4 linked regions of the Saccharomyces cerevisiae S288C genome follow. The gene in region 4 interacts genetically with the main gene of each other region. Each region holds a gene or a part of one and is shown on either strand. Other genes may lie near its edges.

Region 1 (11,054 bases), on a different chromosome or scaffold from region 4:
TGATGAAGAAACAAATCCAAGCTACAAACACTCACCAATCAAGTTACCTTGTGGCCACATTTTTGGGAGGGAATGTATCTACAAATGGTCAAGATTAGAAAATTCTTGTCCCCTTTGTAGACAAAAGATCAGCGAATCTGTAGGTGTTCAACGTGCAGCCCAACAAGATACGGATGAAGTAGCAGCTAACGAAGCTGCTTTTGAACGTATTAGACGAGTTTTATACGACCCAACTGCAGTGAATAGCACTAACGAAAATAGTTCCGCCCCATCCGAAAACACGTCCAATACAACGGTTCCCACTATCGGAAATGCAAGTTCTGGCGAACAGATGTTATCAAGAACAGGCTTTTTTTTAGTGCCTCAAAACGGCCAACCTTTACACAATCCAGTCCGTTTACCGCCTAATGATAGCGATAGAAACGGTGTCAACGGGCCGAGCTCAACTACTCAAAATCCACCCTCTAATTCTGGTGGTTCGAATAACAATCAAAGTCCGCGCTGGGTTCCCATCCCTTTGACTTTGTTCCAATTCCACAGTCCAAATCCGAATCCTTCCGCTTCTGATTCTTCGGCAAGCCCATCAGCAGCGAACGGTCCAAACTCAAATAACACTAGTAGTGACGCTACAGACCCTCACCACAACAGACTAAGAGCCGTTTTGGATCACATATTCAACGTTGCTCAGAGGGGAACTTCTGATACCTCTGCAACAACAGCACCCGGAGCACAAACTGTTCACAACCAAGGACGTAATGACTCATCGTCCTCTGATACAACGCAAGGAAGTTCCTTTTTGGAAAATATTTCACGATTAACAGGCCATTTTACGAATGGCTCAAGAGACAACAATAACGACAATAACCATAGCAATGATCAACAACGAGGTGGAAGTACTGGTGAGAACAACAGAAATAACTTGTTTTCCTCCGGTGTTGCCAGTTATAGAAATCAAAATGGTGATGTTACTACCGTCGAACTACGCAACAACAATTCTGCTGCCTTTCCTCCTACAGACGAAAATCCCTCTCAAGGCCAAGGTTCAAGCAGTTCGGACACCACCATTCATAACGACGTCCCTAATGATAACAATGAGCAACGATCATCACAATAAACAATACCGCTTCTGAAGTATGTTAATATGAAAATATGTCCTATTGGCAGTCATCCATTTTCAGACATTATTTTCTACTCCTTTTACCTTTTTTTTATCTGCATCTTTATATATATATATCATATACTTATTTTTCTTTACTTCTACTTAAAGTTCTATAATCATTGTTAATCAGAAATTTGCATGTCTCCAGCAAGTAAATATGAAGGCCGAGAAATTAAACCACCGACATAACCTCCTCTGAAAAGTCGTTTCGCAAAACAGTAAAAGGTGAAAACACTTTTAAGAACTGTGGAACACAAACTGTGTTTTCTTACCATAAAATCTTTTACCGGAGGTCGAAATCGTTTTCTTTCTGATTTGGAATTCGACGCTCGAAAAGTGCAGAGATCTCATATTGTTAACGGACTATCATCTAACTTTTTGCATAATTTATACAACATGCTCAGATATCATATGCAAGGTTTTAGTGGGTACGGTGTCCAGTATTCTCCCTTTTTCGATAACAGGCTCGCGGTAGCTGCTGGTTCAAACTTTGGCCTGGTTGGGAATGGAAAATTGTTCATCCTTGAGATTGATCGTTCAGGTAGAATAGTGGAAGTTAATTCCTTTTTAACACAGGATTGTTTATTTGATCTTGCATGGAACGAAAGTCATGAAAACCAAGTGTTGGTTGCACAGGGCGATGGTACATTACGCTTGTTTGATACAACCTTTAAAGAGTTTCCTATTGCTATATTTAAAGAGCATGAACGAGAAGTATTCAGTTGTAATTGGAACTTAGTCAACAGGCAGAATTTCTTAAGTAGTTCATGGGATGGATCTATAAAAATATGGTCCCCTCTAAGAAAGCAAAGTTTAATGACCCTTACTCCACGACCTTTAGAGATTACCAAAATGGTGGATCCATTAAACGCCATTATATTGAAAAAGAAAAGCTTTACAGGTATTTCAAAAAACAGGAACTGTGTATACCAAGCACAGTTCTCGCCCCACGACCAAAATCTCGTATTATCCTGTTCAGGGAATTCTTATGCAAGCTTATTTGACATTAGACTACCTTCCGGCAAAAATCAGAATAATTTTTTAGTGCATTCAGGACTAGAAGCATTGACTTGCGATTTCAACAAATACAGACCTTATGTAGTTGCCACAGGAGGTGTAGATAATGCCATTAGAATCTGGGACATTAGGATGCTAAATAAAAATGAATCAGCGACTATCAAGAGGACTGTGCCCGGCCAACTTCACAATTCATCATGCATCAATGAAATCCCTAATGCGCACGGGCTGGCAATCAGAAAAGTTACCTGGTCCCCTCATCATTCCAATATTTTAATGTCAGCTTCATATGATATGACCTGTCGAATATGGAGAGATCTCAGCAACGATGGTGCAAAAGAAACATATAAAACTAACTCTACGGATGCTACTAAAGGTTCCATTTTCAATTTCACACAGCATTCAGAATTCGTATTTGGAGCTGACTGGAGCTTGTGGGGAAAGCCAGGATATGTGGCTTCAACTGCATGGGATGGAAATTTATTTGTATGGAACGGCTTAGGTTGACACATATTCTTTTTACACAAATTTTTTGCATTATTTAAACTTTAAAATTATTTTTCAATCATTGTCAGCATTTGGCAGATCATTTACGTAATTATTTAATATTCTCAACACGAAATTATGGGTAACAACGCTTCTGACTGTGCAAAAGAACATTCTAAAAACATACCTACGGCAAAAACTGCTAATTACTCAAATTAATCAAGTTTTTATAACGACATAAGCGAGTGCTGAAAGAAGGAATATTTAGAGTCCGATTACCGTTTTATTAATAAACGACATACTTATATATTTGCTGGGCGTTCCACCCGAGGCACGTGATCAAAAGTGATTTTGGTTTTTTCAAAGGCTAAGCTTCGATCTCACTGGAAAAGGAACAATAGCAATACCTAATATAAAACTCAAGCCTCCCAATTATGTTTATAACGGTGAAATAAAAAGCCGACAGAGCAGCTTTTTCTGAGAGGATCGACAAAAAATGTCCTTACCACTAAAGCCCCTTACAATTGACTCAAATAATAAACAACTAGACTCCAAACAGAAGAAGTTTCGTGCTAATGTCGAGCGAGCATTAGAAAGATTTGACTCTGTAACAGAATGGGCGGACTATATTGCTAGTTTGGGAACACTATTAAAGGCGTTGCAAAGCTGGTCACCTAAATTTCAGAATGTAAGGTACTATGTTCCTTCTCCATATCAAGTAAGTCGAAGATTGACATCCTCATTATCGCCGGCGTTACCAGCAGGTGTTCATCAGAAAACTTTAGAAGTATATACGTATATCTTTGAACATATTGGCCTTGAAACTCTGGCTACAGAATGTAACATTTGGATCCCGGGAATTTTACCTTTGATGACTTATGCCTCTATGTCTGTTAGGTCACATTTGATAGAGCTTTACGATAACTATATCCTTCTGTTGCCTCAAACAACGTTAAGACTGCTCATCAGACCTTTGATTTCTAGTTTATTGCCAGGAATTGATGATGAAAGCAACGATTTTTTACCTTTAACTTTAAAACTCATTGAGACTCTGCAGGAGAACTTGGATGATGATTCCTTATTTTGGCAAACGTTGTTTCTAGTCATGACTGCAAATAAAGGCAGAAGACTGGGCGGACTCACGTGGTTGACTAGAAAGTTTCCGTCGTTGAATGCTGTACCTCATCTAGTAAATAAAATAAAAATGGAAGCGGAAGAGAACCCAAGTGAAACTGAAACCAACGATTCTCATCTAGACAGGAAAAAAAGAAAAGAAGAAGCTTTCAAGGTCTTATTGCCTGCTGCCAAAGATTTAGTAACCCCTGAACCAGGTCTACTTATCCGATGCCTTGTCGGTTGTTTAGAAGATGAAAATGATATTCTTATTAAAAGGAGCGTTTTGGACCTTTTATTACAGAGGTTGAGGCTAGACTCTCCCGTTTTGAATGTTCTTATTACTTCTGAGGATAAAAAGTTATTGATAATGAGTTGTTGTAGAACTACTTTGAGCAAGGATATGTCTTTGAACAGAAGAATATGGAACTGGCTTCTCGGTCCTACTGCTGGGGGCATGCTAAACAATAACGGCGGGAACTCCATGGAATATACTACCTCGGTTAAGTCAGCAAACGAGGAAAGTAATGTATATTTTACAAAATATGGATTAAGCGCCCTTTTAGAAGGTTTAAGCGACCTTCTTTCAGAAGAAGAATCCGTGTTAACTGCATTCAGGATAAGTATGGCAGTAATGGATAGATGGGAAATTGGCTCACTTGTAATTCCTGAATTGTTCATCCCACTTCTCTATTCCTCGGAAAAATTTAAACAAAACGAACAAATAATGAAAACGGCACGTACTTTCTTTGACAATACTGAAACAAATATTATATGGGGAAAGCTATTTCAAGAACTTGAAGACATCAAAAACCTAAAAATTTTGGATTTCGTATTAACAAATTTTAATATTGGAAACGACGAAGAGATTATCGTACGCCACCTTCCTTTGATATTATTAACTTTACTGGCCCTTCCATCTAATGATAAAGATTTCGACAATATTTATAAGCTCCAAAAATTTTCTTTGTACAACAAATTGTTAAACTATATCCCCGAGAGAGCCCTTCTCCCTCTCAGTCACTCAAAACTAAAGCACGATGATGAAGTAAGCTGCGAAGAACTTTTGGCCAAAATACGTGGGTTTTATACCAATGTTTCTAATCCATCTAGCATTTTAGAGAAAGAAAATATAGCTGAGCGTTTGCCACCCTTTACAACAGAAGATCTAACTTTTTTAATAGCAGACCTGATTCAGAAGAAGCTTCTTTCAAGTTTATGGGACTTGGAAAATATCAATGAAAGCTCCAAATTATTTATAGCTATTTTCGAAAAGATACCTGAGTCTGAAGAACTTAAAGGACGATCTCACATAAGCTGGTCGGATAAAAAAATAACTCAGAGCATATTTGAGGCTATTCCCAGGCTTTGTGAATCTAATAATGATGCAAAATCAGAAGAAATCGTTGGAATTGTGGAAATTTTTGGTAACTACTTATATTCACGCATGGAATTCATTGAATCGATGAAATTATTGAAAGTAGTCATGATGGCCGTATGGAAATCTTTAAAAGATCCACGCCATCAAATACTAGGTGTCAAGAACTTAAAGACTTTAAACAGATTTATTCCATCCAAATTTATTGAAAGTGCGTTAGTGTATACTTTTGTGGAAGAGGAAGATATATCCGAGAGATTAAGCGTGTTAGATCTGTTATGGACACAATTAGACTCAGATTCAAACTTGATTAGGCGCCCTCTTGAATTAATTTTGGGCGAACTTTTTGATGACCAGAATCCTTTTTATTTAACCGTTTCAAAGTGGATTTTATCGATATTAAACTCGGGATCTGCTTCAAGATTATTTTACATTTTGACTGATAATATTTTAAAGGTTAATCGTCTCGAAAAAGAAAGATTAGACGAAAGGGATGATCTTGATATGCTCACATATGAGTTCCAAATGCTTGCTTATGTTTTGAAAACAAACAATGGACGCACTAGGAAAGTTTTTTCCACTGAGCTTACCTCAATAAAATCTTCGACCATATGGAAGAATGAAGACGTTTCCACATATAAAAGTTTGCTGTTGGTTACATTGATGAGATTTCTAAATATAAAGAGCAATACACATGCGAAAAGTATCAGGAGTGCTCTGATTCTTTTGGATATCTTACTCGATGGAACTGAGCAAAATTTCAAGGACATTGTCATATTTTTGCTGCAAATGTCGTCTAAATATATTGCAGAAGAAGGAATTGAGCCCGAGTTAATAGCAGTTTCCTTGTTAGATATTGTATCGAAGGTTCTCAGACTATCACACGATAATGGTATTAAACTAGACATTTTTGATGACAATGCTGCCCATTTAAAATATATCGATTTCCTTGTTACCAGCGTTTCAAATATGAAAAGCCCTCTTATTGTAACGGCCTATGTGAAGCTTCTTTCCGAAAGCATTGTTTATTTTGAGAATTCTATATTTCGAATGATTTTACCATTGTCTGCATCTCTTGTACAGTGTGTTCAGAGATTGTTTTTGCTAGAAAAGAGAGAAGGTGGTTATTACCAACCAATAGCTTTGCTTCTGGGTGGTCTGGAAGAGCTATTAGAGATTTCACATGGTTACCTTGTCACCGAGGAAAGGGAAGGATACTTTTCTGGGTCTAATCTAAAGGGTGATTTTATTCAATCCGTTGTTTCAAACGTTTTTTCGTCAGATTCTTCCAATGAAGAAAGTAAGATTCAGGGGGAAAGAGACGTAATACTACAATCTTTCAGACAGGTGATTTCATGCTGTTTAGATATCTGGTATTGGGCCCATAACATTTCGTGTAAATCTAACGATGATTCTAGCCTGGACGCCACTAATCATAACTCATACAAGTTCAAATTTAGGTCGAAGAAACTGTTGGAAACCTTATTTCTACTAGAACCTTTGGAACTTCTGGAAAATTTGATCAGCATTAGATCAGACAATACTACAGTCACACTAGTACATGTGCTCGACGGCAATAAACCCGCCATTACAATACCACATTTATTGTATGGTGTAATTATCAGATACAACAGAACGGCATCTGTCAAGTTTTCTAATCGTGACGGAAGTAGGTCAAGCACAACTAAATTAACTAAAGGGGAGCCTTCCATGTTAAAAAGATTAAGCGGGGAATCGATTATTGCATTTTTGTTTAACTACGTGGATTCTGTAGAAAACTCTGCAATGGAGGAGTTTTATGGGGATTTCCTGCTATTTTTCAGAGAAGTAGCAACCAATTATAACCTTTATTCTGATGTTTCGTTGTCTATATTAAAACTTGTTGCCCTTATTTCTGGAAAAGTAAGTAAAACGCAGTTTGGAGAACAAAAACGAGTTAGGAGGGAGATATCTGATGTGTTTTTCAAATACCTACCTAATGCATTTATAAACTTTACGAACTTATATCGTGGCCACCCTGATTCATTTAAAGATTTAGAATTTGTAGTATGGCGTGTTCAATATATCGTCAACGATCAAATTGGAGGAGACAAGTTTAATACAACGTTAGCGACAATTGTAAATCAATGCCTAACCCCTTATATCAAACCCAAAAGTGAAAAAACTATTCCAGGTTATGTCTTAGAATTGGCCGCGGTCGTATCCCATTTAGGTTCAAAAGTTAAAAGTTGGAGGCTTTTAATTGCGGAATTGTTCCAAAATGACAAAAAACTTTCGGTAATTGGCAGCGATCAAACTTGGGAAAAGATTATTTACGAATGGTCCATTTATCCAGAAAATAAGTCAAAAATCTTGAACGATTTACTATTAGAAATTGGCTCCAAGCGTTCAAGTGTGACTCCGACTTTAATCACGTTTAACTTAGGAAGCGATTCTGAAGTCGAGTACAAGTGCCAAAACCTTTTGAAAATATCGTACTTGTTGATGGTATCGCCAAATGACGCATATTTGTTGCACTTTTCCTCTTTAATAAGTTGCATTTTCCACTATTTGGTGTCCAAAGATATCAAGCTCAAGGGAAGCTGCTGGATCTTACTAAGGGTTTTACTTTTAAGATTTTCAGAGTCCCATTTCAATGACTATTGGTCTATGATCAGTTACTGTTTACAAACTAATTTGCAAGAATTTTATGAATCACTTCAAATACAGTCAGAAGTCGATCCACAAACAATATTGCAAGTATGTAAAACTTTGGATTTGCTACTCTTACTCAACATGGAAGGCTTCACCTCTACGAATGAGTGGATCTTTGTTATTGATACAATAAATTGCGTATATAAAACGAACTCATTCGTCGCGCTGGTAGATGAAATCGCAGAATTCAAAGATTACGAAATAACCAAAACTGATGATCTTGAATTACCGACAACTTTAAAAGATGGTCTCCCATTATTACGAGGCATTCACAAAATCGAGAGACACACGCAACTAAGAAGCTTCTTCCAGAATTTGAGTTATCTACATTATGAGAAAGTTTACGGACTAGGGTCAGTTGATTTATATGGTTGTGGTGAAGATCTCAAAAAAGATATTCTGTCATGAGCATAGCTATGAATTTTTCTTTATAAACCGAAATATAGTTATACGCTTTGAGTAAAGACACAGGTTATCAATTATAACGTGAAAGGTTTTGCAACTGTCACCTTGTAAAGCTGTACACACTGAGGACTTCCCATCCCGCTTTTCTCGTTTCAATAAGTTTCACATTCCATTTGTAAGTATCGACAAACCTCTTAATGACTTCTTTAGGCTTATTTCTTGCACAAAATAATATATATGCAACACCATCTGGAGAAAGAATTTGTTCTAATTGTCGTAGCAGTTTATCAGTAATCGCCATCCCGTCTTTTCCACCCAATAACGCTAAATCTAGCCATTGGTCTGCCTCCTCTCTTGATCCTGGGACATCTGGCACACATTCTGCTGGCACATATGGTGGGTTAAATATTAGGACATCAACCTGATTATTCCGAATACTGGAGTTTAAATCAGCTTGAATCACTTCTAAAAAAGAACTTTTACATGAATTTAACTTCGCAGTATCCAAAGTTGCTTCGAGCGCCCATGGGTTGATATCAACAGCTAAGTGGATGGAATTTTCCTGCGGTATTATTTTGTTTTGCATTAGAAATGTTGTGACGATACCTGATCCCGAACCAATTTCGCAAACGATGGCCAAACGATTACCAAATTTCTGTTTCAAAAAATCATGCTCTTTTTCCAAACAGTCCAGTATGAGGAAGCTATCCTCAGCAGGCTCATATACTTTATCGTAATCGCATTTTACATAAGGGGTCGGTAGCATACTTCACCTTTCTCACCCTGTGTTAAGTTTATCAATATTATATTTCAGAGTATAATTATATCAATATTTATATGAAATCAAATTCCGATGGCGTCTTCGGGAAGGCAAACGAACAACTTTTAGCTGAAAAACCAAAATTCTGTTATTCAAATGAAGTATTCCGACAGAGGAATAAATAAAGGAAGGTAATTAACTTCCTTACAGCCGTAACCGATGATTGTTAAAGTGAAGACACTGACTGGGAAGGAGATCTCTGTTGAGCTGAAGGAATCAGATCTCGTATATCACATCAAGGAACTTTTGGAGGAAAAAGAAGGGATTCCACCATCTCAACAAAGACTTATATTCCAGGGAAAACAAATGTATGTTCATTCAGTGGTTAATTATCTTTTAAGTTTATTTACGTTTTTGAGACCTTACTAACGACCAGGATAGTGATGATAAATTAACAGTAACGGATGCACATCTAGTAGAGGGAATGCAACTCCACTTGGTATTAACACTAAGAGGTGGTAACTAGAACCATTTTCCGTCATTTATGGAATTTTATCGAAGGTGTTCATTAGAAAAGAAGACAAAACGAACATAAGTTCACTTGGACTTTGGAAGGCTACCGCCCCCAATTTGTCAAAAAAAAAAATACATACAATTTAGTCTATAGAGTCTGTTATAATAAATTAATTGTTTTTAGACGAGAAATGTGAACTAAAACTGTTTAGTATCTATCAAATTATCCGTTATAGCATAGTACGGCTATATATGGTCTGATTGCTGGTCTCATATGACTTTATGGTTTAAATTTCATAAAGCTGGCCATTGCATGGTTCGCGCTGGAAAGAGAGGAAAAGCGTGGTGATAAAGAGCAAACCAAGCATACTGTTATATGCGATTACAGACTATCTGACCAAAAGACATATTTCGCCATTTCTTCTCAATCATGTCTTCCAGGGCAATTTTGTAAGCACGATTGGATGTCCTCTTGTAGTATACCGAATTTCTCATTAAGAAAAGCATCCTTTGCGCTACAACTTTATCAAGTGGAAGTATATACTAAACTCGGAGCATGCTTTTGCCAACGATATCAGTCTTAGCAAAGGGACTTCTAAGGACGTTATTGACGCCTGATTAATCTAATCAAATATAGGTTTGTCATTTTTTTAAACCGAATGGATTGACTTTTGTTTTCATCATAAGTATTACTCTCTGATAGGATCTCTGTGGTACGCTAAAATCTATCTGAATTGTTTGGGACACTATGCATGAATTTCTTATCAGTTTAAAATTTCTATTAAGAGGATAATTTATTTCATATCTTGGGTAGATGAACCATTAGAAATGTTCGAAGTAGCTGCATTGTTATCTTCTGTTTTTGGATTTTCTAGTTGAGCTGTTGTATTCTGTGGAGCAAACTCCCCGGCAACACCACTGTCAGGATCTTGCGAAGAAACTTCCGAGCTTTTTATTTTGGTATTCTCTTCTGATATTTCTCCCTTTGGTTGCGTCTGTTCGCTCTTCAACTCATCTCCTTCTGTTTGAGAAGCGCTGTTTATACGTTGCGACTTAATTTTTTGCTCTCTTTCAGGAAACGAAGCCTCTTCTTCCAGTGCCCTCTTCTTTCTTTCCTTTCCAATCTTGTACTCCCTAGCATCCTGAAGTTTTTTCCTGTGCTCTTGATTGATTTTGTACAAAAGTTTCTCTTTGAAACTATCATCCAACGCTTCCACTTTTCTGGGTTCCTCGAACAAACCATCAACACCAGTCTTTTCGTTAACTTTATCAAAATCGAACAAGTATCGCGATCTTAGAAACCGTAAAGTTTGCCATTGTCTGATTATTTCATCTTTCGCTTCTCCACCGGAAGTTTCAGAAGAAATTTTTGATTCCCATTTCGCTTGGGCTGCTTCATAGACACCTTCAGGCTTCTTTACTTCTTGCTCAATTTTATCTAGACCAGTAGGTATTTTCCAAACATTATTAATCAATTTATTCCCCATCTTGATGAACGTAAACTTTTTAAAAGTTTCGTCAAAAGCGGG
Region 2 (6,888 bases), on a different chromosome or scaffold from region 4:
AATTGAGACAGGCTTTGGAATCCCATGAAAAGGAGAAAGCAGTATTAAAGAATTCTCTAAATGATCTGGAATTGAAGATAGAAGAAGTTGACAACAAAAGGGAAGAAGAGGCTAGAGAGAGAGACCAGGAAGTCAAATCTTTACGATCCCAACTTGACACGGAGATAGAAACGCACAACAATGACACAGAAGCTTTAGAAAGCATGAAAAAACAGCTAGAAGCCATGAAGGAGGACGCCTCTATGAAGGAAAAATATGAGGAAGAATCTAAGCAGCACATCTTACAGATCGGAAAACTACGTCACGAAGCCATTATACTAAATGAGCATTTAACAAAGGCACTGGCCATGTTGAAGAAATCAAGCGATTCTGAATCCGTTGATAAAGAACTGATATCCAATCTATTGATATCTTTCGTGTCCATACCCAGAGCAGACCCAAGAAAGTTTGAAGTTCTTGAATTACTGTCCAATTTCTTAAACTGGGATGAAGATAAGAAACAACAGGCCGGCTTGATCTCGAATAATGAGTCTAAGAATTCAAGCGCTGTATCGAGAACGGAAAGCTTTGTATCGCTTTGGACCAACTACCTCGAGAAAGAGAGTGAGAAAGACTAATCGGGCAAACTAAGTCTAGTTCAGAAGAGCATACGTACTTAGTGTAGCATCACCCAATTTATACTCTATAAACGATAAATGATATAAATCACATCTACCCGGCATCTGGGACTTTTCGGGGGGAAGGACTCAAAATTAAAGGGAAGAAAAAGGATCTGCAACATTTTTTACAGAAGTAATGAACTGGAGAAAAAAGACTTTGGGATAAAGTTGGGGAATACAGCAAATAACACTATTCCAAGATGTTCAGACAATCAATTAGGCCACTTGTTTCAAATAGACTAACCTTCATTCGTTATAACAGTTCTCCAGCCTACACGGCTGCAGTCAGCCTATTGAAAGGAGATTTGAAAAAGGCTATGATTGCCAAGGATGAGATGAAGAAGACAGCAATCAGAAATATGTTATCTGCCATAAAAAACAAAGAAATTGCTTTAAAAGGGAAGAGCGCTGATGAGTACTCCCTGTACGACATGTACTCCAAGTTAATATCTCAAAGAAAGGACTCGATCAATGAGTTCCTTGCTAACAAGAGGGACGATCTGGTGGCCAAAGAGCAAGGTGAAATGGACATTATAAAGAAATATATGGACCAATTGCCAGTGTCTTCAGAGCTTGATATTGATCAAAATGTGAAGAAATTACTGGACGCCCTCAAAACAAAGGCAGGTGAAAAAAAAGTTCAAATTAAGGAAATCATGGGAGAAATCGACTGGAAGTCATTGCCAACAGAATGGAAGACATCTCCAACTGCCATCAAAAATAGCATTGTTAAGCAATTCAAGGAAATTTTCAAATGAGGTCCTTGTTTTCTGCGCGATGAATCACAGCCCAACCTTCAATAGTAAAAAAGAAGTAAAAATATTCGTCAAAAATTATGAAAGATACTTTGTTAATACATATCACAGTTACATATTAAAATAAAAAATTAATGCTCGCTTCCTTTCACCTTTTTTTTTTTTTTTGTGGCTACGTTTTTGTGTCCCATGGCAACCATGATATGTCTTGCTAACTGTCATTTGCCCTTTGTTTATAAAAGAGGCCGCTTTTGTATAATGTATAAATTATTCTTTTCCTGAAAGTATTTGTAGTTATCCAAGACAAAAAACCAGCAGCTAACATTGCTACACATAACTAAAGAACAACACCAAGCCAGTAACTAGCACGAAAGGAAGGAAAGTAAAGTTTTGTATCCCATTCTCTTTTTTGATCCTTATTGAAATGTTAGGATTATATCTATCCTCCCTTTTCTTCGCCTTTTTTATGGCACAAGTGTTTGCTACCAAATACTCAATTACTTTTACATCAGATGAGTATGAAGAAGATGAAACAGGACAAAATGAACCTGGTCCTTTAGTTTTCCATTTGGATAAAAACTCATTACCACCAGCTCTGCTAAATCAAATGGAGTTTAATCCATACTTAGTATTAGCAGATTTACCGGAGGAGCCGCGAGCTGTTGATTCTCAAGAACATACCGATACGGTCCTTGCTTCCAAATCTGTTATAGATTTTCTGTTGGAAGATCCTCTAACAATAGTGGAGCACAAAAAGTTTTCTCAAATTGAAAGTATTCTACATGAAATTATGGAAGACAGCATACAGAAGAAAGTCGGGGCAGACGAGGTATTTGAAGAGATTCCGAAACCGAAAATTTACGCGTATGAAGATATTTTAGTAACTAATATGAGCATCATCAATAATAGTGAAATGCCGACAAGTACTGCAACATTAACGAGCACCATTTCTTATTTATCTAGTACGACAAGTTTAGCTTTATCCACGGGTGTTACCAGCGTTGAGATTTTCCCAACAATCACCCCGGGAAATATTACAACTATTGGGGGATACGAAAATTCATCATCCTCCTTAATGCCGTCGATGGGAATCTTATCTTTTCTATTTGGTCTGTACTTGTTACTTCACCCTTAAAGTTCGGCAGTCATATAATCAAAGTTTTGATAGAGAAAGCATTTATATAACATATAAGCAAATGACCAATTAATGGTATTATTTAGTGACGTTTACAGCTGGCGCGGTCGCGTTACACGGGCAAGAAAAAATCAAAGCCACATCAATAAGTCATCACCATTAGAGAGTTGCACGACAACAAACTAGAACAGCCATGTTCGGGTGAAGAGGAAGTGCAGCAACTCAAGTTTTTCTACAGACTAAATTGTTTTTACTCTTGACTCCAAAAGCCCTTTTTTTTTTTTTTGGTGCCATATAATAGACGCTCTTTTATGGATCATTCAATAGAAGTCACTTTCAGAGTAAAAACACAACAGGTTATAATACCGGAACAAAACATCCGGGGAAATGAACTTCCCTTACGTCGGTGGCAGATGGAACTCCTCATGTTAGATGCAACAGGAAAGGAAGTGGAGCCTACCATCCTCTCTAAATGCATCTACCATTTGCACTCTAGCTTCAAACAGCCCAAAAGACGACTGAACTCGCTGCCATTTTTTATCAAGGAAACCGGTTGGGGAGAGTTTAACTTAAAAATAGAATGCTTTTTTATAGGTAACGCTGGAAAGTTTAGCATTGAACATGACTTAACGTTTGAAGATGATGCATATGCAGTTGACTATACCGTTGATGTGCCTCATGAATTCTCACATCTCAATAGTGAACTATCTAAATATTTTGATCTCCCGTGGAAAGTAGTGTCTCCGGAGGAAGAAATGTCTCTTCGTATAGCCGATTTGCCCTGGATTAAAAGCCTTGCGCTTATAGATGAGGATATGATGACGGACGTGGTTCAGATGATATTGAATGATCCTGCAGTACAGAGAGCAATTGAAAATCATCCCAGAAGGGAGCAGTTTTTTATGTTTATAACACAACTACCAGATGATTTGTTAATGAAAATTCAGGCATTTTTGAAATTACCGAACAAAAATTCCACTAAACAAGAAAGGACAAATTTTGGGTCAGACGCAATACATAAGGACGAGCCAGTGAAGGCTCATAACAAGCTAAAGTAGGGACAGCCATCATGAAATTAAACAATGCCTGAAAACATAGATGATTCTAGCAAGTTGGTCAAATAAGTCAGTGAATAATACTGTTTCCAAAACGATTGAAAAGAATTTTTGAGTGCATGACACTTTTGTTCGTTTTTGTTTCGTTTATCCAAAGAGAAAAAGGAAGCAAATGACAATGCTTTGAATTTTCATTGTTGAATGTTTTGACTTACTTTATTAAAGGACGTTTTTGCGCTTCCACAGAACTAATGTTACTGTTGTTATTCTATGTAAATATGGGATGGGTGTAGGTATGTATATTTATATAATAGCATCCATTGATAATTACTGCTCACAGTATTTCCAATTCGAAGCTATTGATAACCTGGAGACCATATTTTCATGGTTGAGTCCCATGAACCTGTACATACAGCTAACCCATCTGGACTCGAGCGCACACCAGTGACTCTGCCACCATGACCTTCTAATTTTCCAACAATCTCTCCTTTTAATACATCCCACACAACACAACCAATGTCTGTATAGCATGAGTACATCAATCTTCCAGATGCACTAAAATCTAAAGAAACAACGCCTTGGTTGTCTAGATAGCTTGAGCTTGTTGATTTTAAAGTTTGTGGCGATTGCGCGGTATTGTACTCCATGTTAGCTGCCATATAAGTAGGGGTAGGGGTACGTTCTTCATAACCTCGAAAAAGAGAAAAAGTAGCAATAGAACAGTCCGACCTTAAATCATACATATTTATCGCACCATTGTCACTTCCTGCAACAATCGACATCCCGTCTTTGAAAAAACGAAGTGCATTAATATCACTATCGTTAACGTAAAAGCTTTGTACAGCGGACGGAGATCTGCTATCCCATATGTAAGTATACCCGTCTGATCCACAGCTAGCGAATGTGTTCGAAGAATTTTCTGAGTTTGGCTCTTCAGGAATAGCTAATGCCAAAACATCACCTAAATGGTCAGAATATTCTCTCACCCTCTTTGCTTTCGGTATATCCCACAAGGCACATGTCATATCCCCACTTGCTGTCAATATATGTGCGTTATCTGTAAATTCAATGTCAGAAATATAGCAAGTATGTCCTTTGAAAATTGACGCAACGTTTTGCGCTACTCTGTTTTCTTTCGAAACTCTATAAATGGTACAGTTATTGTTTAATCCTGCGCTTGCTACCAAAGTACTCGATGGCGAAATAGCGCAGGAAAGAACCCATTGAGAATCTAATGGAATAGCGTTCTGTTTTAAACCTGAAGCACTGTCCCATATAAGCATAAAGCCATCTTGACTTGCACTCAAAATACGTTTTGAATCTCGACTCCACCGAAAATCTGAGATTTTATTATTATGGCCTTTCAACACGATATTTGGCTTTAAGTTGATCTTATTTTTGGTCAACGAAGTAACTTTGTTGGCCATCTGGAATAAGCTTGCATCTTGTATCTTGTGTTTTGCTTTATTTATTTGAGCATGAAGCTGTTTACTCTCTTGTCTGGCGGCCTCTATTTTATTTTGAATTTCATCCTCCACTGCAGAGATATCCTGTAGACTTTGTGGTTGTATATACTGTTGGGTGACATTATTAGAATACGTTATCGAGTCCATCTGATGTGCTGCCATCGTAATGTGTACCTGATTGAGCTGTACAGTTTTTTGAGTATTTTCTTCCTTGACTTAATGAACTAGCAATATCGTATTTTCTTCCCTCTTTCCTTCCAATAATTCTGGCCTATTGACCTTGAGTTCTGGCACAAAGGAGATTATGAATAAAATGTGCTTTACAGCGAGTTACTACAAAAAGGGGAAGAAAACAATTAGAAAAGTGATAAGAGATTTTGAGGATACTGTTTCGATATTGAAGGGATTCAAGTCATGTGAAGGATGGACTTCCAAAAAAGTTTTATGTTTGAAAGTTTAAGTTACAACTAATATGAAACAGGCAAGTGTCAGTTGAAAACAATCTGAAAAAATTTTCGACACACAGAAAAACAACTGTTGGGTAAACCTAACAGGGCTACAAGTCAATCTGTTAAGGCAAAAAGCCTCACAAACTTTTTCCTGCGTAACACATGTGTCTTTTTTTTACGCAGTATCTCTTCCTGAAACATTTTTCAACGCGTGTAAAAATTTGCATCTGACGAAAGTGCGTACAAAGGGTTGTGGTCCCAAAAGAGGTAGTACACGCCGAGAATTTGCACAGGGTACTGGTTACAAAAGGTAAGTACCCCCCGCAGGGACGGTTGAAGCTATTGAATCTTCGTCTCATCGGCTGATATCAAAATCCGATCATACATACCCATCTCAATCTCAATAATTGACATTTCATTTAGCCAGAGAAGAACATCGACAAGTAAGCTGTTCTTCTGCTCGCTAATGGTAAATGAAGTAGTCGCTCTTAAGTAATTATAAATAGTACATCTCTCTCAGCGGATGACATATTGTGATAAAATTTTAACGCAGGTGTCAGTAAATAACAGAGTTGTAATTAGTTTTAACTGCAAAAGACTTCGCAAAGAACATATGGCGGGGTTTATCCTTGAAAAAACGGTTTCCATAGGAAGCCTAAAATATGAATGGATCTAGTGTACTCTTTGAGGAAATATATTTCAAATATTTCTGTCCATGAAAGATTTACTATGAAATTAACCCTCATTCAGCGCTTCGTATTCGATGATCAATATGCAAGTTGTTAATATTTCCTTGTACCGTTAAAAACAAAATAGTAGCGTTCTATTGAAAGGCAAGACATAATCAGCTAGGAAGGTTCACACCAGTTAACGGGAGAACACGAAAAAGCCTCTTTTTGGGTAGTACAGATATCATTTTATTCTTAGGCTTTTCCATTCTTTTCGTACTTATAATATAGCCTCGCATATTCACCATAATACTCTGAAAGCATGAGTAATTCTACTTCATTAAGGGCCATCCCAAGAGTGGCGAACTATAACACATTAGTAAGGATGAATGCGAGCCCAGTACGGCTTTTAATTCTGAGAAGACAGCTTGCTACGCATCCGGCGATACTATATAGCTCTCCTTACATCAAAAGTCCGTTGGTGCACTTACACAGCCGCATGAGCAATGTTCACAGATCAGCACATGCCAATGCTTTGAGTTTTGTTATCACCAGGAGATCGATATCACATTTTCCTAAAATTATATCTAAAATTATTAGGTTACCCATATATGTGGGTGGCGGGATGGCTGCTGCAGGGAGTTATATAGCTTATAAGATGGAAGAAGCTAGCTCTTTTACTAAGGACAAACTAGATCGAA
Region 3 (6,903 bases), on a different chromosome or scaffold from region 4:
AAAAAAATGGAAAATCCGAAAGGTGACGATAAGATAGTCAAGTTTTACATATACTGGTTGGCATTCTGGATACCTTTACAGACTATCCTATTTGCAGCTTTTTTACCACCAGCCTGATCCTTAATGCTTGTATATTTCTTCTTTTACTAAAAACATATAAAAACTATTTACATATAGAATATAGAATAATGCGACACTATGACCTTCTTCATTTTCTCTTTATTCTTCACCCTTTATTTGAAATTTCAAGGTTTACTTTCTTCTTGTTAGTATACTATTAGTTAAAAACTCTAGGGCAGAACGAGCATCAGATTCAGGAAGAGAATCCCGTAGATTTTGTAATGCCTTGTCCCTATATTCCTCCGCTAGTATTTTCGTCTTCGCTATACCATTATGGAGTCTCACAGAATCAATAGTTTTTTCAACATCACCCCTCTCTGAAAAATTGCGTGAAATTAGTGGACCTAAAGATGGGTCTTCTTTCCATGCAAACAAGACTGGAGCAGTAGCAATACCTAATTTTAGATCCGCGCCGGATGGCTTCCCTAAATCTTTTCCAGACACAGTAAAATCAAGCATATCATCTACGAGTTGGAAACATATACCTAGATTTCTACCGAAATCATAGCATTCGTCGATAACGGCAGGTGATGCCCCAGATAATATAGCAGCACATCTGCAAGATTTTGATATCAAAGCAGCAGTCTTCAGATAGGTCTTGTGTATGTAGTATTCAAATGCAGTTTCTATAATCTGATCATGAGATAATTGCAGCCCCTGTTGGCGGCTTGGAACACGAAAGTCGTGCTCTTTAACTTCAAGCTTTTTAGAAGGAACCGGAAGTAGCTTATGGCCATTTTCGATGGTATCGATATCCGCGTCAATGGAAGTATTTTTCAGTTGCATGAACTCACCTTCGACAAGATTCGCAATACTATTAGACATTAGTTCTACGACTTCGGGGTTGTGTAATCTTGAAATTGACACTGTTGCTCTCCCTAAGAGAAAATCACCCGCCAAAACGGCCATCTTGTTGGTAAAGGCAGCATTTCCGCTTGGCCTTCCTCTTCTTGTATCAGAATGATCAATAACGTCATCATGAAGTAAAGACGCAGTGTGTATCATCTCTACAATCTCTGCTAATCTTCTCTGTTTGGGTAAAATCCCTCTTTGTTTGTCAAAAGTTTCTTCTGGCAAAGGCTCAGGACCTTTTGTCAAGGGATTTAGTGGTTTAATACCGTGAAGAATATGTAGTGGGGATATGCTACTTGCAGGACGTTGAAATAGTTGATTTTGACTAGGTTTAGAGTAAATTGGGTCCTCAGGAACATCCGACTTGTCAATTTTCAAGTGATTTCTTTCTGTCATGGGAATTTCAGAAAGTGCTCTTGACAACAACAACACTAACAAGGGACGTACTTTTTTGCCTTCTGTTTCAAAATAGTAACTAGTAACCTTGTTTAGCACCGGATGGCCAGACCCGATGAGGGCAACTATATTTTTGGCCAATGTGTTCATCTCCTTCGAGACTAATGATATGGGATTATTCCAAAGAATCTTGGGAGTTACCAACTTACTGGCAGCGTTTAAAGCAACTGCAAAGGAGGATTTAAAGCGGCATCTTCGAGATGAAATCAATTTGATGTGATGAGCAGCGCCAGACCTTTGAAACATCGTCCCACTGTACTCAATTCGGACTGAATGGCACACTTCTTGTGTTGTAGAAAATCTCTATAGATTATAATGTGTCTTACTTTAATCTTCTAATCCCCTAACCCTGTTACCCTCGCTCGGGCTTTTTCCGAAGATGCCAACAAAATGCTTAGAATGAAAAAAAAAAAAATTTTCGTAATAATGACAGGTTTCAATAGAACTTAAGCAGTAAAAATAGGGTAAACACAGGTAAAAGACGGTATGGAAACGGATAGTGGTATACCTGGTCATTCATTTGTGTTAAAGTGGACAAAAAACATCTTTTCGCGCACATTGCGTGCATCTAACTGTGTACCTAGACATGTTGGGTTCATCATGGATGGGAACAGGAGATTCGCTAGAAAGAAAGAGATGGACGTAAAGGAGGGCCACGAGGCAGGATTTGTTAGTATGAGTAGAATCTTAGAACTGTGTTATGAAGCAGGAGTCGATACGGCTACCGTGTTTGCCTTTTCAATTGAAAATTTCAAGAGGAGCTCACGGGAAGTTGAATCACTGATGACTTTAGCGCGCGAAAGGATACGACAAATCACAGAACGTGGAGAGCTGGCCTGTAAGTATGGGGTACGCATTAAAATTATCGGCGATCTCTCTTTGTTGGATAAGTCTCTATTAGAAGATGTTCGGGTTGCTGTGGAAACTACAAAGAACAACAAAAGGGCCACGTTAAATATCTGCTTTCCATATACAGGCAGGGAAGAAATCTTGCATGCCATGAAAGAAACAATTGTTCAACATAAGAAGGGCGCCGCTATAGACGAAAGCACGTTAGAATCGCATCTCTACACGGCGGGGGTACCCCCTTTAGATTTATTGATTAGGACAAGTGGCGTTTCCAGATTAAGTGACTTTTTGATATGGCAGGCATCGAGTAAGGGCGTACGCATCGAATTGCTGGATTGTTTATGGCCAGAGTTTGGACCTATACGGATGGCATGGATTTTATTAAAATTTTCGTTTCACAAATCCTTTTTAAACAAAGAGTACAGATTAGAGGAAGGTGATTATGACGAGGAAACCAATGGGGACCCCATCGATTTGAAAGAAAAAAAGTTGAATTAAGAAAGGTCTGCATTTTTTTCCTACCACATGGCATAGATATTTATAGAGTAATGAGCAAGATAAATGAGTTCGCAAAAGAACATTCAAATAATTAGTAATAAATGAGTAGAAATTCACGCATCTTTATAGAGTTTATAATGCAAATCTCCGCGCGGGGTAATTTGAAGTCCAATTTTTCCGAGCGGCGTGCCAGTTCCACTAAATTATATAAAGCGGATAGGAATTGTAATTACCTCCCAAAGTTAATATTCGACTAATGTATATTTCATATGTTATAGCGCTTGTAGGAACTGTTTTCCATTAAAACTAATATTCTTTATTTCTCAATTTTATTTATTTATTTATATTTTTCCTTTGCAAATATATTTGACGCAGGTTCGGATCAGACATTTGGTATATAAGGAGACCTGCATATACTCAAATAATGGTAGATTTTTTACCAAAAGTAACGGAAATAAATCCTCCATCCGAAGGTAATGATGGTGAAGATAACATAAAGCCACTTTCAAGTGGTTCAGAGCAGCGGCCGTTGAAAGAAGAGGGGCAACAAGGTGGTAGAAGACATCACCGGCGGTTGTCCTCTATGCATGAGTATTTTGACCCGTTTTCCAACGCAGAGGTCTATTATGGACCAATAACAGATCCAAGAAAACAGTCAAAAATTCATAGACTAAATAGAACCAGAACTATGAGTGTTTTCAATAAAGTTTCTGACTTCAAAAACGGAATGAAGGATTATACCCTGAAAAGGAGGGGTTCTGAAGACGACAGCTTCCTCAGCAGCCAAGGTAACCGTAGATTTTATATTGATAATGTGGATCTCGCTTTAGATGAGCTGCTCGCTAGTGAGGACACAGACAAGAATCACCAAATTACCATAGAAGACACTGGGCCCAAAGTTATTAAAGTCGGGACGGCCAATTCCAACGGTTTCAAACATGTAAATGTTAGGGGAACATATATGCTTTCTAACTTGTTGCAGGAACTAACCATTGCAAAAAGTTTCGGACGACACCAAATATTTTTGGATGAGGCGCGTATAAATGAAAACCCTGTTGATAGATTATCAAGATTGATAACGACTCAATTTTGGACGAGTTTAACGAGAAGAGTTGATCTTTATAATATTGCAGAAATTGCTAGAGACTCAAAAATAGATACGCCAGGCGCTAAAAATCCAAGAATTTATGTTCCATATAACTGCCCAGAGCAGTACGAATTTTACATTCAGGCATCTCAAATGAACCCGTCCTTAAAACTTGAAGTGGAGTACTTACCAAAAGATATTACAGCAGAGTATGTTAAATCATTAAATGATACACCGGGTTTGTTAGCCCTGGCTATGGAAGAACACGTTAATCCATCTACTGGTGAAAGGTCCCTAGTTGGTTATCCTTATGCGGTACCTGGCGGTAGATTCAATGAATTGTATGGCTGGGATTCATATTTAATGGCACTGGGACTCATAGAAAGTAATAAGGTTGATGTTGCAAGAGGTATGGTGGAGCATTTTATATTCGAAATTGATCACTATAGTAAAATTTTGAATGCTAATAGGAGTTATTATCTTTGCAGATCTCAGCCACCATTCCTAACCGATATGGCTCTGCTCGTATTTGAAAAGATAGGAGGTAAGAATAATCCAAACGCTATTCAGTTGTTAAAACGCGCGTTCAGAGCTGCTATTAAAGAATATAAAGAGGTGTGGATGTCGAGCCCTAGGTTAGATTCTCTGACAGGGCTGTCTTGTTATCATTCTGATGGTATTGGTATCCCTCCGGAAACTGAACCAGATCATTTTGATACTATATTATTACCGTATGCTGAAAAGTACAATGTTACTCTGGAAAAGCTTAGGTACCTTTATAACGAAGGCATGATTAAAGAACCCAAACTGGATGCATTTTTTTTACATGATCGTGCCGTGAGAGAGTCAGGACATGACACGACTTATAGGTTTGAAGGTGTATGTGCATATTTAGCGACAATTGATCTAAACTCCTTGCTCTATAAATATGAGAAAGATATTGCTTTCGTCATTAAGGAGTATTTTGGTAATGAATATAAAGATGAGAATGATGGAACGGTAACCGATTCTGAACACTGGGAGGAGCTAGCTGAACTGAGGAAAACAAGGATTAATAAGTATATGTGGGACGAAGATTCAGGGTTTTTCTTCTATTATAACACGAAACTGAAATGCAGAACGTCTTATGAGTCTGCAACGACTTTTTGGAGTTTGTGGGCTGGTCTTGCAACTGAAGAGCAAGCAAAAATCACAGTAGAAAAAGCTCTTCCTCAGTTAGAAATGCTCGGCGGACTAGTTGCATGCACAGAAAAATCAAGAGGTCCTATTTCTATTGATAGACCGATCAGGCAATGGGATTATCCTTTTGGTTGGGCGCCGCACCAAATATTAGCCTGGAAAGGTTTATCTGCATATGGTTATCAACAAGTAGCTACAAGATTGGCTTATAGGTGGCTGTACATGATTACAAAATCATTTGTTGATTATAACGGAATGGTGGTAGAAAAATATGATGTGACAAGAGGGACTGATCCGCATCGCGTTGATGCGGAATATGGTAATCAAGGTGCTGATTTTAAGGGCGTCGCTACAGAAGGCTTTGGTTGGGTGAACACAAGTTATTTGCTCGGATTGAAATATATGAATAATCATGCAAGAAGGGCTCTCGCTGCTTGTAGTCCACCATTGCCATTTTTCAATAGTTTGAAACCCTCTGAGAAAAAATTGTATTACCTATAATATTGACGAACATATGTAAATAAGATATATGTTATATTCTTCTTTCTATCAATAACCATGAGATTGTGCCTCAGTAATATTTGAGACGATTTAGAGTAAGGTCAAATATTATTATTAATCAAGTTGTGTAAAGGCTCATTTGTGAAGGTTAGAATAGTAATCGATGATTTTCAAGTAAAAGTGTTTGAAGGGCATTTCAGTAACATCTTCAAACTAGGAGTTTGTTGAGACAAAAAAGTCTGATTTTCATAAGATCATAACTTACGCTTTGAAGATCGTTATGAGTACCTTGTAGCTTGCCAGATCTTCTTGCTTATTCTTAAGCTCTTGGGTAGTACTGTATAAGACTGCTTGACATCGGGAACACTATCATTACCGTGTGATAGAATTCTCGTACCAAGCCGGTTCACCTTTGCGTGGTCTAGTGCATAGGAAGAATGACTAATAGAAAGCTTTCATTTCTATTAGTGTCTTAAATGCGAAGAAGGTATGGGAATCTATTACATACATGAAGAATATAGGATCTGTATATCGTCGTCACCGACGTAAGGTTTTTTTGTCAATTCTCGGTGAACAATTTTTTGCAAGAAATATATTGATACTTCTTGTTGAAATATTTTTCTTTTTCGGAAAACAAAAACATAAAATAATTATTTAAGAAAAAAAATTAATTAATAAATTTAAATAGAAAATCTTTTTTACTTAATAATAATTAAATAAATAAGTCACATGATTTATGTAGGATCAATTTGCTCAAGATTAATTTATTATTATTGATATTAGTAGGTGCCAGTTGAATAGCTATATTTTCAGTCTGTTTGAACGTTCTTTTTTTCATTTTCTGCTGAAAGCAAGTACTCCTACTTTTATTACTTTACATGTTATCGGAGGCCTGCACAGACACTTGTATCCTATACTATCAAGGTAAATATGATTGATTGATCCTCTTGGGAAATGGGATTTTAAGTTTTGTTAGCATTCTGGTTTGCCAACCTGTTGGTAAAGCACTATTTTTCAAGCTTTTGCAACGAGATTTGTCTCTTTGATTTTTTATTTATGATTTCTAACTTTTTACTTTTAGTTAAACTATTAAAGAATAATTTTCGCAAGGTACATAGCGATTTAAGTAGTTCAGAAAAGAAATTATTTAAAAATTACTCGCTCTCTTATTTGAAATGAAGATGGTTTTCAGACAAACTCCTACACAAGCTTGTTACTGGCTTTCAGTCCGAAAACAGCTCCAAACCCTTTAATAAAACCTTTCGTTTCTTTTACTTTTTATTCGAATTATATAGCTCTTTGACATTCCTTTTTTAGTATGATTCAAGCTCCCCTCTTTTCCACCCCGTGAAAAACAGAAT
Region 4 (7,154 bases):
ATCTTTTTCTTGTAATTTCAGTTCATAATATTCTCTTTGAGACTCTAATTGAGATATTAGGACTTGCACATATTCTAGATGATACTCCCTATGCCTTAAAAAATTTGCCGCCAGCTCGCCATCTTTTTTATTAGAGTTCGATTTCTCACCGTTTTTGCTCCTGTTCCCGTAAACAACATTTTGTAGTTCATCGGAGTTGCCTATATCATTGTTGTCATCGTCACCGGAGCCGCCGACCTCTACTAACTTCCCATCAACTTCATTTTGAACTAGGCGATGGACATAATTATCACCCGCATAATCCCACACTCTTTGTGTCCGTATATCCATCGCAAAACAATGTAAAGTTTCTTCATAATGCTTGATTGCGTGTTTGGAATTGTAACGACCGCATCCAACATTACCGCAGATCAAGCAAATCCATAGATTATCAGTGGAACCACATGTTGCACAATGTGCGGAATCACCTGCCTGTTTCAATAATGATTCCCTGCTTAGCCGCAGACTTGAATGTCGACACACTGGACACCTTGAATTCTTCCACTTATTTAAGCATTGGCAATGAAAAGTGTGCTGGCACGGGATCGTTACTAATCCAGTAGTTTCTGAATCCATTCTTTCAAGGCAAACGGGACATGTGGGGAGTTCGACTTTTACCAGTTCCTTTTTTTTCTTAACAGTGAATGGATCAGTAAGCAGATAGGGGAAGTCCTCGTTAGCGGCTGGTCTTTGGAAGAGCTTTTTTTGAAAAACTATTTCTTTTACAGAGATCACATGGCATGTTTCGGGATCCATCCTGCTGAAACTTTTGCCATTGAACTCTTCCTTGAAATTTTTCGCATCAAGTGCATTCCTGAATTTAATTAAGACCGTGAAATTAAAACCCATTCCCTTCTGCTGATTTCGTAATATACGAAAGTTTGAAACTTGCTTATTAACAATATCATCACCAATATAAAAATGCAATAAATCGTGAACGGTAAAATAAGTTGGAACAAACAGGATACATATCATAGTATCATCTCCCGGGATAGTCAAAATCTCCTTCTCATTAAGAGTATTATTGGCATTGCTTAGCTTGAATAGCCTTATTATCCCATGGCCTAAGTATTGTGAAGTAATCAAATCACTTTCCTCTTCTTTTGATGTTTGATTTTTGAAATCAGTTATCATGTCTATTTCCAAGTCACAGACTCTCCAATCCTGCCAGTCTTGATTATTACTTTTAATACTTTCTTCCCCGATACTTTTTGCCTTCAACTTTTTCGGAATACTCTTGAAAATTTGATAAGCGGATTCAACCTGATTTTGGTTTCCAAATTCTAAAGTAATGATATACTCAAATTGATCCATAGATGTGAGGGCCAACCAGAAAGTAATACATTCAATGCTACTATTCCGTTATTGCCTCTATGTGTTTTCCTTTGAACTTTTACTTAATCCGCGGGTGAAATTTCATTTTTATATTTTCCATTTTATAACAGGCCGTCCCCTAAAAACACCGCGTAAGAACATAGTTTATACACTTATATAAGTAAAAGGTGTAGTAGGTTGGAATGGTAAAGGGCGTATTGTGTGTCAATTATGCGATGAAAATGTATACTTCGAAGTCAATAAAAAAAGAACCTGGTTTGCCTCATGAAGATGTTGCCTGCCCTTTCTTATTTAGTGTTTGTAAGTTATTTTTGTCAAAGTCTATTCATTCATTCAAAGTAGCTTCCTCCACTAGAAAATCGATTAAACTTCTTGGATACGCAGGTCCATGGGTATGACAACATTCTTGTCCTTGCAATTTGCTCATAACGTATGTCACATCAAAGTCCCTCTCTTCTGAAAGTTTGTAAAGATACTCCCAGGTGGCGGGGACTGTTAGTACATGTCTTCCTGCTTCGTCAGTATACTGGGTATTTCGCTTCATAATTTCATTATCCTTTAGCGAATACTTGCCTTTGTGATTCAGTTTGCTTTCCAGGACCATAGAGGTAAAAAATTCATCTTTCGTTGGGAAAGAATATTTGTAGTTGGTATCATCTTCTATGTCCTTTGAAAAATTTTCATTACCACTCCGCAGTAGCAGTCTGTTCTCTGCGTTGATTTCAGTATTTGCCTTTCTTAGTTCCTCAATTTCTTTCAATAAACTTTGGCGGTTCCTTTCACTTTCTAACAATTTATCTTGTAATTCTTTCATTCTGGCTTCTTTTCTCTCTCTGAAGGCTTTTTGGGCGGCTCTGTTTTGAGCCTTTTTCTTTGCCTTAGAGTCATCTGGAACATTCTCATTATGAGCAACTGAGGGACTCCTCGAACTTGGAGATATACCATTATTTTTAGAAAAATAATTTGTATTACTATAACTATCATTATCATTATTATTGTTATCTGCCATAACATAGGTAGAGTAGTCGCCTGAAATAGGGGTTAGTTGAATTGCTTGAAGATCACTACCCTTAGGGAAAGATATGTTGTTCTGTAATAGCAAATCATTATTTGATCTGTCAAGGTTCAAAGCAGGACACTGGTCTTCCAAAATTGGGAAGGGTGCTGTTTGCTCGCTCAATAGGTCTGGTTGTTGTTTTATACATTTGCTATCTTCTTGGAATAGACTATTTCTGATACAACAATCCTCCTCTTGGCATTGAGGGTTAATAAATTTCATGAATCCGCTGGTATTATCATCCATATTAGAAGGCGTCATAACAATTGCTTCAGCCTTATTCTTCGTTAGTTTATACTGGAAGTAAAGCAAACACCTACTGCCCCTTTTATCGAAATGATAAACAAATAAGAAAGCTCAGAGGGCCTCCGGTAATATTCAAATCGATCTGTTTTATAATGCTTATTGAATAATAATGCCGTTGCTGTACTCTTAACATAAAGCTACGAAAATCCACTATACATTTTTCTAAAGAAAAAAAAAAAATTCAAAAAAAATTGATTTCGCCCAGGATCGAACTGGGGACGTTCTGCGTGTTAAGCAGATGCCATAACCGACTAGACCACGAAACCAAATTCTTATTGATTATGTTGTATTACGGGCTCGAGTAATACCGGAGTGTCTTGACAATCCTAATACAAACAGTCTTAGGGAAGTAACCAGTTGTCAAAACAGTTTATCAGATTAATTCACGGAATGTTACTTATCTTATATATATTATATAAAATATGAATCATACTGTTGGAACGAGAGTAATTGATAGTGACATGAGTTGCTATGGTAACAATCTAATGCTTACATCGTATATTAATGTACAACTCGTATACGTTTAAGTGTGATTGCGCCTATTGCAGAAGGAATGTTAAACGAGAAGCTCAGACAATACTGAAGCGGTGTTAAAGACCTATTAGTTGAACATGTTATGGTAGGTACATATATGAGGAATATGAGTCGTCACATCAATGTATAGTAACTACCGGAATCACTATTATATTGGTCATAATTAATATGACCAATCGGCGTGTGTTTTATATACCTCTCTTATTTAGTATAAGAAGATCAGTACTCACTTCTTCATTAATACTAATTTTTTACCTCTAATTATCAACATGGCGACCCCAGTGAGGGATGAAACAAGAAATGTTATTGACGACAACATTTCTGCGCGGATTCAATCGAAAGTCAAAACAAATGATACTGTCAGACAGACGCCATCATCATTAAGAAAAGTTTCTATTAAAGATGAACAGGTGAAACAATATCAAAGAAACTTAAATAGGTTTAAAACCATACTAAATGGTTTAAAGGCAGAAGAGGAAAAACTTTCTGAGACTGATGATATTCAGATGCTAGCTGAAAAATTATTAAAACTCGGAGAAACCATTGACAAGGTTGAGAATAGGATTGTGGATCTAGTTGAAAAGATACAATTATTGGAAACAAACGAGAACAATAATATATTACATGAACATATAGATGCTACAGGGACTTACTATTTATTCGATACGTTAACTTCAACCAACAAAAGATTCTACCCTAAGGATTGTGTTTTTGATTATAGGACTAATAATGTCGAGAACATTCCTATTCTCTTAAACAATTTTAAAAAATTCATCAAGAAATATCAATTTGATGATGTCTTTGAAAATGATATCATAGAAATCGATCCTCGTGAAAATGAAATCTTGTGCAAGATAATCAAAGAAGGACTCGGTGAAAGTTTAGATATCATGAACACAAATACAACTGACATTTTTAGGATAATCGATGGTTTAAAAAACAAATATAGAAGTTTACATGGTAGAGATGTCAGAATTAGAGCCTGGGAAAAGGTTTTGGTTGATACAACATGTAGAAATTCCGCATTGTTAATGAATAAACTTCAAAAGTTGGTACTAATGGAAAAATGGATTTTTTCTAAATGCTGCCAAGATTGTCCTAATCTAAAGGATTACCTACAAGAAGCTATCATGGGAACCTTACATGAATCCTTAAGAAATTCTGTGAAACAACGTTTGTACAACATTCCACATAACGTAGGAATTAATCACGAAGAATTTCTAATCAATACTGTTATTGAAACAGTAATTGATTTGAGCCCAATTGCAGACGATCAAATAGAAAATAGCTGCATGTATTGCAAATCTGTTTTCCATTGCTCAATTAACTGCAAAAAGAAACCAAATAGGGAACTTAGGCCTGACTCGACCAATTTCTCAAAAACCTATTATCTACAAGGTGCACAGAGACAACAACAACTTAAGTCCAGTGCAAAACGAACAAAAGTCTTGGAACAAGACACAAAAAAAGTCAAACAAAGTGTACAACAGCAAAAAACTGGTAATTATTGATACCGGTTCCGGCGTAAACATTACCAATGACAAAACCTTACTGCATAATTACGAAGACAGTAATCGCAGTACACGATTTTTTGGTATTGGGAAAAACAGTTCAGTGTCTGTTAAAGGGTATGGCTATATAAAAATCAAGAATGGTCACAACAATACTGACAATAAGTGTTTATTGACTTACTATGTACCGGAAGAAGAATCCACTATAATCAGCTGTTATGACTTAGCCAAGAAAACCAAAATGGTTTTAAGTCGAAAATATACCAGATTGGGAAACAAAATCATAAAAATTAAAACCAAGATAGTTAATGGTGTCATTCACGTAAAAATGAACGAGTTAATTGAACGTCCTTCCGATGATTCAAAAATAAATGCAATAAAACCTACTTCTTCTCCTGGATTTAAACTAAATAAAAGGTCTATTACCTTGGAAGATGCTCATAAAAGAATGGGCCATACAGGAATTCAACAAATTGAAAATTCCATAAAACATAATCATTATGAAGAATCCCTTGACTTAATCAAAGAACCAAATGAATTTTGGTGTCAAACCTGTAAAATCTCTAAAGCCACGAAAAGAAATCATTATACCGGGTCTATGAATAATCATAGTACTGATCATGAACCAGGATCATCATGGTGCATGGATATATTTGGCCCTGTATCAAGTTCAAACGCGGACACTAAAAGGTACATGCTTATTATGGTGGATAACAACACGAGATATTGCATGACCTCCACACACTTCAATAAGAATGCTGAAACTATTTTAGCTCAAATCAGAAAGAATATTCAGTACGTGGAAACACAATTTGACAGGAAAGTCAGAGAAATTAATTCAGACAGAGGTACTGAATTCACAAATGATCAGATAGAAGAATATTTTATTTCAAAAGGAATACATCACATACTTACTTCTACACAAGATCATGCTGCTAATGGAAGAGCAGAAAGATACATCAGAACAATAGTAACTGATGCAACAACACTCCTAAGACAAAGTAACTTAAGAGTAAAATTTTGGGAATACGCAGTAACTTCTGCTACCAATATAAGAAATTGCCTGGAACACAAAAGTACAGGTAAACTACCATTGAAGGCAATCTCACGTCAACCTGTTACAGTGAGATTAATGTCATTCTTACCATTTGGCGAAAAAGGAATAATTTGGAATCATAATCACAAAAAATTGAAACCATCTGGACTTCCTTCTATAATTCTATGCAAAGATCCAAATAGTTATGGATACAAATTCTTTATACCATCCAAAAATAAAATTGTCACATCTGATAATTATACAATTCCCAACTATACGATGGACGGTAGAGTAAGAAATACTCAGAATATTTACAAGAGTCATCAATTCAGTTCACATAATGATAATGAAGAAGATCAAATCGAAACGGTCACAAACTTATGTGAAGCTTTGGAAAACTACGAAGATGATAATAAACCAATTACTCGCCTGGAAGATTTGTTCACAGAGGAAGAGTTATCTCAAATAGACTCAAACGCAAAATACCCATCTCCTAGTAATAACCTAGAAGGGGACTTGGATTACGTATTTTCTGATGTTGAGGAATCTGGAGATTATGACGTTGAATCTGAACTTTCAACGACAAATACTTCAATCTCAACTGATAAAAACAAAATTTTGTCAAACAAGGATTTTAATTCAGAACTTGCATCGACTGAAATATCCATCAGTGAAATCGATAAGAAAGGATTAATAAATACAAGTCATATTGATGAAGATAAGTATGATGAAAAAGTCCACAGAATTCCATCGATTATACAAGAGAAACTGGTAGGAAGTAAAAATACTATTAAAATCAATGACGAAAACAGAATCTCCGACAGAATTCGTAGTAAAAATATTGGGAGTATCTTAAACACTGGACTCAGTAGATGTGTAGATATCACCGATGAATCTATTACTAACAAAGATGAGTCAATGCACAACGCAAAACCCGAACTAATTCAGGAGCAGTTCAATAAAACAAATCATGAAACTTCGTTTCCTAAAGAAGGGAGCATTGGAACAAATGTAAAATTCCGAAATACAGACAATGAGATTTCTTTAAAAACAGGCGATACGAGTTTACCAATAAAAACTTTAGAAAGCATTAACAATCACCATAGTAATGATTATTCCACAAACAAAGTTGAAAAGTTTGAGAAGGAAAATCATCATCCGCCCCCGATTGAGGACATTGTGGATATGAGTGATCAAACTGATATGGAATCAAACTGTCAGGATGGTAATAACTTAAAAGAATTAAAAGTCACCGATAAAAATGTACCAACTGACAATGGAACAAATGTGTCACCAAGGTTGGAACAAAATATTGAAGCATCTGGATCACCAGTAC

What was found.
Region 1: mutations in YAP3 (region 4) and DOP1 together harm fitness more than expected from each alone (negative genetic interaction), as found in Saccharomyces cerevisiae (one large-scale study listed by BioGRID).
Region 2: mutations in YAP3 (region 4) and SPR2 together harm fitness more than expected from each alone (negative genetic interaction), as found in Saccharomyces cerevisiae (2 studies listed by BioGRID).
Region 3: mutations in YAP3 (region 4) and RER2 together harm fitness more than expected from each alone (negative genetic interaction), as found in Saccharomyces cerevisiae (one large-scale study listed by BioGRID).

What each region holds. Positions count from the first base shown.
Region 1 is NC_001136.10:732,102-743,155, reverse strand, and holds DOP1 (Dop1p), read left to right. Parts: upstream 1-3,158; coding exon 3,159-8,255; downstream 8,256-11,054. Other genes in the region: ubiquitin-protein ligase SAN1, read left to right, coding at 1-1,114; PEX7 (Pex7p), read left to right, coding at 1,556-2,683; MTQ2 (S-adenosylmethionine-dependent methyltransferase), read right to left, coding at 8,353-9,018; NEDD8 family protein RUB1, read left to right, coding at 9,232-9,380, 9,454-9,538; HPR1 (Hpr1p), read right to left, coding at 10,320-11,054. UniProt on the Saccharomyces cerevisiae protein: Required for traffic between late Golgi and early endosomes, and for the normal structure and organization of the endoplasmic reticulum. Required for normal cellular morphogenesis.
Region 2 is NC_001147.6:741,254-748,141, reverse strand, and holds SPR2 (Spr2p), read left to right. Parts: upstream 1-1,838; coding exon 1,839-2,549; downstream 2,550-6,888. Other genes in the region: RUD3 (Rud3p), read left to right, coding at 1-617; AIM41 (Aim41p), read left to right, coding at 860-1,417; SAS5 (Sas5p), read left to right, coding at 2,861-3,607; STE4 (G protein subunit beta), read right to left, coding at 3,961-5,232; dynamin-related GTPase MGM1, read left to right, coding at 6,573-6,888.
Region 3 is NC_001134.8:237,580-244,482, reverse strand, and holds RER2 (ditrans,polycis-polyprenyl diphosphate synthase), read left to right. Parts: upstream 1-1,914; coding exon 1,915-2,775; downstream 2,776-6,903. Other genes in the region: GPI-anchor transamidase GPI18, read left to right, coding at 1-117; COQ1 (trans-hexaprenyltranstransferase), read right to left, coding at 253-1,674; alpha,alpha-trehalase NTH2, read left to right, coding at 3,200-5,542.
Region 4 is NC_001140.6:82,369-89,522, forward strand, and holds YAP3 (Yap3p), read right to left. Parts: upstream 2,693-7,154; coding exon 1,700-2,692; downstream 1-1,699. Other genes in the region: ETP1 (Etp1p), read right to left, coding at 1-1,353; YHL009W-A (gag protein), read left to right, coding at 3,541-4,782. UniProt on the Saccharomyces cerevisiae protein: Transcription activator involved in the regulation of genes expressed in response to environmental changes.